Arabidopsis thaliana: one gene and its partner. The protein of the gene in region 1 interacts with the protein of each later gene in a pairwise test. Each region holds a gene or a part of one and is shown in the gene's direction. Other genes may lie near its edges.

Region 1 (4,530 bases):
AGCCTGCAGGAAAATTTGCTCTAAACGGATGAAGATTTCAGTTTATTTCGGTTTACAAGTTAATAATAAGGTTATAACTTATAAAGATTCTCCTTTGTCAAAGTTACTGGTACTAGTTTTAAAAGGATGATTACATATACACCATAATAAACATATCAATATCATATTATTCATAGGAAAATCCAATCCACAGATGGAGCTGCAAAATAAAAAAAGGGGTCAAAAAAGACCAGACTAATCTAATCTGCCCAAACAACACACCACTCAGATTTGAACTTCCAAAACTATACATTTTCCAACTACTCACATATCATCATTTCTCTTAGATACCATCAACTTCATTGATACAATACCCCCATTACTGTACTTATTATGGGTATGCAAACCAAAACAAAAGAAAAAGAAGAAGAAGCAAAACTTCACAACTAAAGGATTCATGAGATCAGGCCGATACAGGTGCATTAGGGATAACCGATGATGTGGATGCAGCGACTTCAGTAGATTTTGATGTTGAAGGCCCTGACTCAGAGATATCCCCAATATCAAGTGTCTCTGGCAGGTTTTCTTCAGATTCAGTGCTGTATATCTATATAGAAAAAGAGTGATCAAAATCATCACTTAAGATCATTACATCAAACAAAAAATAAACGTGAGTAATGAATATACCTCAAGCTGATTCAGCATCTCAATGGTTGCTTCAAGATCACCGCCATTAGCGAGGTAAACATCAGTGATAGACTCTTGTGAGAGACCAGAGAAAGTGACAAGAAGGTATTCAATATCCATGTCTATATCCATCTCCAAATCCAAATCATCATCCCTGATCTGCTTATAAGCCATTTCAGAGGATTTCTTCGGCATTGACACTTCAACCGTGGGGGACTTTGCTGCAAACACCAAACCATCATCACCGCCACCATAATCCACTCTTTTGGAGATTGGTACATACGATGCTGCATGTGGATTCAATGCAAATGCTCCTGGCTTCATTGCTTTGTCTTGCTGATAAAGTTACTGCTAAATTTAGAAGTTAATTAAGAGTCAGAGACAGAAAAGAAATACAAAACAATGATATATTGATTAGAACCAAACATGTCGTATGCAGCAAAATCTAACAATCTCAAATTTGGTCTAACGAGGTATGATGAAACAACCTTTAATGATTTCAACAAAAAAAAATAAAAAGGATATGAAGAGACCTAACTCCTAAGCCAACGTTTCGATGGCGTAACACAGAGTATATAAGGAATCTAAAGGAAATAAATTGAAGATATTAAAATAAAGAAATGTGGTTACATTAGAATCTGGCTCGCGTTGTTACTGCATGGAAAAATCGATGTCGGAAAATACAGAAAACAGGGCAAAAGTAAAAGATTCTTGACAAAGAAGAAATGATGCGAAGAAGAGTGGATTATATGCAAAACAAAATGAAAAGAAGGAATAATGTTTGTTGACCTTGTCAACGATCGACGTAAAAGGAGAAGAAGAAACGAAACATTAGGAGAGAAGAAAATGAGCTTACCAAACAAAAACTAGCGTTGAAGATCGCTCGAATAAATTGTAGAGACAGAGACCTAAATGATGCGATTAATGTGGCAAACCCATGTATTTATGGAATTATTATCGTATAGGTTAGTGTCCGTTTACATGAAGGACACCAAACATCACGATGGGGTTCGTTTGGATACCCGGTTATATTTATCTTTAACCGGGATACTAATATACGTGATTGAAATTAATTCGGTTTAATAAACCGATTGATAACCACCGGTTTAAAAAGTATCAAAACGAAGGAGTGAATGGATGAGAGCTAAAGGGAAGAAGCAAAGTGAAGAAGCTCCAGAACACGCCATAGCTATGGCTCTTCTCTGTCCTTCTCTTCCCTCTCCGAATTCTCGTCTTTTCAGGTTAATTATCTTTTGTGATGTTTCTTGTGTGCTCGAGCCAGTGGCTTTTTCTGTAAGATGTTTTTGTGATTTCGGATGAGATTGTGTTCAGGTGCAGGAGCAGCAATATTTCGAGCAAGTATCATGGAGCCTCAAAGGAGCTGATGATTGCTCGTTCTGGTGTGTCTACGAGATCAATTTCTTCGGAAAAGGGGCTTTCTCGTAGGGATTTAGTGCTCATTGGTCTCTCTTCTCCGTTGTCTATGTTCTTGCCATTGTCTTCTCCAGGTAATGCTTTGCTTCTATTGTTCGTCTTTTAATATCTTGTAGATTCAATTAGATAGTTTCACTTCTACTTAAAAATCTTGCCTTTCATTGGTTAGTAGAGAGAAAGGAAGAAAATTGAGAATCTCTTACAGTGTTTAGTCCATTAATAATCATCTACTTTTTTTGGTTATGTAACGTTTACAGTTTTGTTATTGCAGTCACTCATGCAGAAGAAGACGTGAAAATGAGTGGAGAAGAATTGAAAATGGGTACAATGGTGGATGATATTAATGCTTATTCTTATGCTTACCCATTGGATTATCCATCTGAGAAGCTTGTCTTCAAATGGTATTGACTGAATCCTTTTGATGTAATGCTTCCTTTTAGTTCAAGCTGTATCTCACTCTTTTACATTTTGGTTATGCAGGGTTGAATCAAGAAAGCCTGAAAGATACTCTTCAGCTGCACCACTCTCTCGTAAGTTCTATGCTTCCTTTTGATTTTCATGAATTCTGGATGCATTAACTTGTTACTGAATCTGTTTCAACTGGTCCAGCTGATGCACGTTTACGGATTGTTTCTGAACGAGTTGACCTAACTGACAACCTCGTCATTTCTATTTCGGTAAGTTTCTGGTGTTGCCCATTTAGCATAAGACTGCTTTGCTTCTCTTTGCTATCTTTCTCGTGATATGTCTTTTACGGTTTTTGATTCAGATAGGTCCCCCAAACTCAAGATTAACATCAAAAGAAAAGAAAACATGGTCCGCTAAAGAAGTTGCTGATTCTGTTTTGTCTGATAAATCAGCATTGGTAACCCTTCTAACATGAAACACATCACAGTTACCAATTCTCCTTTTCTTAAACATTAAACAGATTGTTTAAATGAGCAGCGTGTCACCTCAAGTCAGCGTCTTGAAGAGAGTTCGGTTCTTGATGCTCATGCTAGTGATGTGAGTATGATCTTCCACAACAAATCATATAACAACGTAAAAAAAATTGAATCTACAAAGCTCACAAGTCTCATATGCTTACTATATGTAGATTGATGGGGAGCCTTACTGGTACTACGAGTACCTTGTCCGCAAATCACCAACCAAAATTGTAATGCTCTCTAACTCTGAGCAGATTCTTCTTGTTTAAAGACATAAGGAGATTGATTTTGATAGGACTTACTGGCTTTGCTATATGTGGGCAGGCTGAAGCATCAAAGCTTTACAGACACTATATTTCTTCAACAGCTGAACGTGATGGTAAAGAACTTTTCACAAGGGAATTGATTGAGATGCAAAGTTTAGAGTTTGTTTAGCCTGATGTAGAGTAACAACATTTACCTGAATCTCACTCATTGCAGGATACTTATACACCATAAATGCTTCAACCCTTGGCAAGCAGTGGGACAAGGTACAAAACCTGTAACCTCTACTTTCTGTACATCTATTGTATCAGTGTGAGGATGTCTGATTTTGAGGGTCTGTATAAAATGCAGATGGGACCGGTGTTAGAAAGAGCAGTAGGATCCTTTAGGCTTCTTCCTCCTACTGATAGTTATGTTCCTCCATACAAGGATCCATGGAGGTTTTGGTGATGCTTCCATCTGCCTCATGAAATTTCTTTTTTCGAAATTGTCGTTAATTTTGATAGGAGAGGAGGTTATGAAAGTTGTAGTGTGAGAAATGAGCCAAGCGAAGTGATTTTTCCAAATCCGAATATCTTGTTCACTATCAGATGTATTGAGATTGAGATATAACTAGCATTTTCTTTTAAACTCATCTCAACTGGTATCCACAGAGTTTTTGGCTCAGAATCAGATTTACTATCATATGAATATGATATACACAGGGAAAGAACAAAAAAGATGGAGTAACTTTCTTCTTCATAGTACCTCCTTTACTATCATAATACATTGACCACTGCCTCCTTAAGATTTTCAAGGTAGCATAAAAATTTAACAAATGAAAAAGAGGTAGCCAGAGGGGAGCCACATAAACCGGCTTCTACCCTTATATAAATTAAGATAATAATATCTGAATAGATGAACCATAATTATAAATATCCATAACAATAGCCATAGGACCAATCACCCACCAAAACCATGAGAGATGAGACCAAAAGTATTTTTTTTTTGTTAGGTAAGCAGAAGCACAAGCAATATACAAAAATGATCATCCATGGCCGCCTCAGTTTAAAGAAACCAACAGCTCTTTTTTCTTGAACAGATGATCAGCTCAAGCTTCTACTTTTCCTCTTTTCATGGACTCAAATCGATCATGGAAATGGTGGGAGTATTGGAATTAGCCCACGGTGAAGAACACACCGTTACTCTTCTTCTTAGACTCCTTGTCTGAAGACGAGACAGACTTGATTGCTTCTTCTTC
Region 2 (4,373 bases), on another chromosome or scaffold:
TACGAATTATATATTTAATTCATTTCTTCACAAAATAGGAAAGGGACATGAACACGAGTAGTTTCAGTCCTTTTGGAGGTGGTCAGAGATTGTGCCCTGGTCTCGATTTGGCTCGTCTTGAAACTTCAGTTTTTCTTCACCATCTTGTCACTCGCTTCAGGTAACTATCAGTTACATGGATACAAAATTATTTAATATTTGTTGTAATCTTTAAATTTCAAAACAAACAAGAGGGTGTGGTAATTAGTGCTCTACACTTTAGACAAAATGGTACGTTCGGACCAAATAAATCTAAATGTCTAATCTCTTTTTGACAAGTTGGACTTAACTCTTAAACGATATACAGAGACTTATTTGAAAATATGTTGGTGATTATGATATGCAGATGGATAGCAGAAGAAGACACAATCATAAACTTCCCAACGGTGCATATGAAGAACAAATTACCCATTTGGATCAAAAGAATATAAATCATTTTTCTTAAGTGAAAAATGGAGAATCAGTTTTGCATTATCAAACTCTAAAAGGTTAAAGAAGTCACACGAGTGTTTTGTAAGTGGGAAGTGAAAAAGATAGTGAGACAGCAAAAGGTAAGAAAAAAAGAGAACATGATGGAGTTTGGAGACAAAAAATGATTCACACGTGTGGAAGACGATAGCACACATGCCAACTATTTTGTCGTATTCCTTCACAAGGCAAATAAGGACAGAATCACAAAACCTTTTTGTTGACCGTATATATATATATATATATATATTTTTTTTTTGAAGTACAAAGGTGTATGATAATTATGCATATGATATAGAATCCTAATTTTCATGACTATTTCCTCTCTCTCTTTTTTTTTTTTAAATGTTAAGGACGACTATTCCTCTTCGTATATTAAATTATTAACTAAGAAAATCATTACAGAAAAGTTATAATTCTGGTTCAATCATTTATATATTTCCAAAAGAATGGTCTAATAAAGATATTATGATAGTCTACATCTATTTCAAGCAATTTTACAGTTTTTTTGCTAAATATGTTAATATCATTAATAATGAAGTTGTGGCGTTACAAAGAAAACCAGTACAAAAGCAACTTTGGCAAAAAAAGTAAAAACAAAGCTACAATAGATTTAGGAAATTTTTGAAGACATTAACGGATCCAGAGAAGCATTAGCTTACGCCAACGCTTCCTAAGCAATTTTACAGTTACTAGTTATTTTTTTAATTTTTAACTGGGTGATGGTTTTCTCTTTTCTGAATAGTCTCTAATAGTTTTAGATGTAATAATGAATGATTAAGCAAAGTCATATTATTTCTCCTCCACTTATATGATATGATGTAATTAACATAACAACCCACTGAAATTGATTTAAACAACGTGACAAGACAAGAAAGTTGTGTTGTTTCAACTGAACATCACTAACAACCAGATCTAACCACTAATTGTACTATATTACATTTTTCTCACTATTGTAACTACGAGTTGTTTATGTTAACACAATAGCCTTTAGAATTGATTTGGATAAGAGGGCTTCACTTTTAAGAGATCCATCCGTTAAGCCTGTTAAAGGCCCAAAAGTTGCATAATAGAAAAGCCTATATATTGGCAAAGACGGGCAACTGTTTAGGCAAATAGGTATTTCTTATGTTATCGCCGCCGTTGAGCCTTTTCTTGTTTTTATTCCCTATTTTGAGTTTTTCAAGACCTTGATTTTCATTTATTGTTAGTTATTTCTCGTTTGGCTGATGATAAGTCCAGCCCGAAATTCCGTTGTTATAGCTTTTTTTTGGTGAAGTTTGCATGGCCATGGAGAACACTAACTTTTTTTTTCATGTAAGTAGACAATTTCAGAGATACTAATCCAAGAGATGGCGGATACGTTTTACAATCACGAATCTTGTATGATCACTAACCATTGGAACAATAAGAGTATATAATGAGTATATCACCATTTAGTTCTAGTGGGTGGTGATCATATAAGATTGGTAATGGTAACAGTGAAACATATCCCCCATCTATTGGGATTAATTAGTCTCCCTGAACAGTCGTGAGAGAACCTTTGTTTGCTGCGGCAGACACTAGAGACTGTTGGAAGACCTTGAGATATACAAAAATGTAGAATTATTTTGAAAATAGGTGATGTGGATCTGGTACTACTTGATTTACATATATGTATTTGCTTCTCTGCTTACTTGTAACGAAAGCTACATTATATAATATACCTTTGATTTAAGCAATCTTGTTGAATAGGTTTCTCTGGTTCTTATGGAGAAAAACTTAAGATTTTTGTAATCCATCATACATTTTGGTATAGTTTTGATCTTATATGTATTGTGCTTTGACACAAGCTAACTATTTTCTTGTTTCACAGAGCGGGATCAATTCTAAAGCAGCCATGAGTCTGGCTCGCTAAAGAAGCCTATCGATGTGGATCGTCCAATGGAGAGAGAGCATGTGACATGAAACCTTCGTTGTATTGGGCCAATATCTTTTGTAATTGGGCTGACTAAAAATCATGATAAAGTCCGAGGGAGACTATAAATAATTTACTCATTGTTCCTGCCGACATTACACGTGGCGAAAGAGTAGTTATATGCCAGAGAGACTCCTCTAAAATGGGGTCACGTGTAGCCTGTATCGACTATTCAATAATGCCACTCTCGCTCGGTGACACCGTGTCTCTTACTTTATCATTAGTCTTTCAAATTAACTATATAGTCCTTCAACATGTAGTAATTCATCTACTTATAAATTGCTGTTACCCAAATCTCGAGTATCTAAAACTTATACTTTTCAGACATTGACCAAGTAGTGAATCAAATCCTCACGTTACACTATATTGTAATCTTTTTAAAACACGATCTAATTAAATTTTGTTTTATTTCATAAACATAGATTAGTTTAGAAAACGCCATATGCAAATGTGTATCACCTAATTCTTGGGACCTTTCAGAATTCATATATACACATAACAAACAGTCTTTTCATTTACTTTCTCTATTCAATCTCACACGCGCTAAACCATAACCCGATATTACTAATGACGAACTACGGTGCGATTCCGACGTCGTCTCATGCATCTCCGTTGGTGGATGTCGAGTCTCTCTCACGCGCTAAACACCGTATCAAAGCCGGGCTAGCCACGCGCCGTGCTTGGAGAGTGATGTTCGATTTCCACTCCATGGGACTGCCTCACGGTGTCTCCGATGCGTTCACAAGAATCAAGACCAATCTTGCTTACTTCCGTATGAACTACGCAATCGTTGTCTTGATCGTTATCTTCTTCAGCTTGATCTGGCATCCGACATCGCTCATCGTCTTCACCGTCTTGGTCGTTGTTTGGATCTTTCTGTATTTTCTCCGTGATGAGCCTATCAAGCTGTTCCGGTTTCAGATCGATGATCGGACGGTCTTGATTGTTTTATCGGTGTTAACCGTCGTTTTACTCCTGTTGACCAACGCGACGTTTAATATTGTTGGAGCGCTTGTGACCGGAGCTGTGTTGGTTTTGATCCATTCGGTGGTTAGGAAGACGGAGGATCTTTTCTTGGATGAAGAAGCGGCGACGACTGAGACTTCTGGGCTGACGTCATACCCGTCGACTTAAATCGTTTCATCTCGAAATTTGTGTATCTTTTCTATTTTTGTATATTATCTTGTTTTTTTAATTATGCGTAATCAATTTTTATTGGTGTGAGTTTGGTTTGAGACTTTCTCTCTCTCTTTTGTTTTCTGAGTTTTGAGCTCTGTCTGAAGTTTGAACAATTCTAATTTGTTATAATTTTTATTACTCCCTCTGTCCATAAAAGATAAATTTTTTAGGAAAAATATTTGTCTTACAAAGATAGAAATTTTATATTTGCAATGCAAATTTTAAAATTGTTTTCCCGTTTTACCCTTACTAAATAATTAGATAAATATTTATTATTATTTTTAAAATATATTAAGAGGTTAAAATTATGTTTATACAATATTTCTTAAAAAATGTGCAATTTCTAAAAAATTCATCTTAGTGGGACGGAGGGAGTATTTTATATTCGCAAAACTCAGGAATAATTTCTTGGAATGATTTATTAATCTGAAATATTTAAAATGATTTAATCTGAAATACATAATAAATAATCAAATTAATAAGTCAAACATTATAAATTCAAAATGGGTTGTAATGAATATTCCCTTTTTGCATTCCGTAACAAAAAAATAATCAATTTTTGTTGTAAAGTTTATTCAGGTTGGTTCACCTTCAAAGTAGGAAAAAAAGTTTGGTCTTGATTTAAGTTCTTTTTTCATTTGGGTCACACAAATGAGCAATTTGAAGCAAAAATCCTTGATATATATGCAGGCCTTATTCAAATTTCCAATGTAAAGATTTGAAGCAAAAA

Evidence for each region.
Region 2: the proteins of PPD5 (region 1) and PRA8 interact in a two-hybrid assay, tested with the Arabidopsis thaliana proteins (one large-scale study listed by BioGRID).

Annotation. Positions count from the first base shown.
Region 1 is NC_003076.8:3,652,618-3,657,147, forward strand, and holds PPD5 (PsbP domain protein (Mog1/PsbP/DUF1795-like photosystem II reaction center PsbP family protein)), read left to right. Parts: upstream 1-1,774; 5' UTR 1,775-1,803; coding exon 1,804-1,907; intron 1,908-1,998; coding exon 1,999-2,174; intron 2,175-2,371; coding exon 2,372-2,501; intron 2,502-2,580; coding exon 2,581-2,630; intron 2,631-2,709; coding exon 2,710-2,777; intron 2,778-2,869; coding exon 2,870-2,965; intron 2,966-3,045; coding exon 3,046-3,105; intron 3,106-3,196; coding exon 3,197-3,256; intron 3,257-3,350; coding exon 3,351-3,405; intron 3,406-3,506; coding exon 3,507-3,556; intron 3,557-3,641; coding exon 3,642-3,740; 3' UTR 3,741-4,030; downstream 4,031-4,530. Other genes in the region: CID5 (CTC-interacting domain 5), read right to left, coding at 443-586, 667-990; AT5G11460 (hypothetical protein (DUF581)), read right to left, coding at 4,447-4,530. UniProt on the Arabidopsis thaliana protein: Involved in strigolactone biosynthesis.
Region 2 is NC_003074.8:4,494,427-4,498,799, reverse strand, and holds PRA8 (PRA1 (Prenylated rab acceptor) family protein), read left to right. Parts: upstream 1-1,999; 5' UTR 2,000-3,031; coding exon 3,032-3,598; 3' UTR 3,599-3,821; downstream 3,822-4,373. Other genes in the region: CYP90D1 (cytochrome P450, family 90, subfamily D, polypeptide 1), read left to right, coding at 39-160, 386-470. UniProt on the Arabidopsis thaliana protein: May be involved in both secretory and endocytic intracellular trafficking in the endosomal/prevacuolar compartments.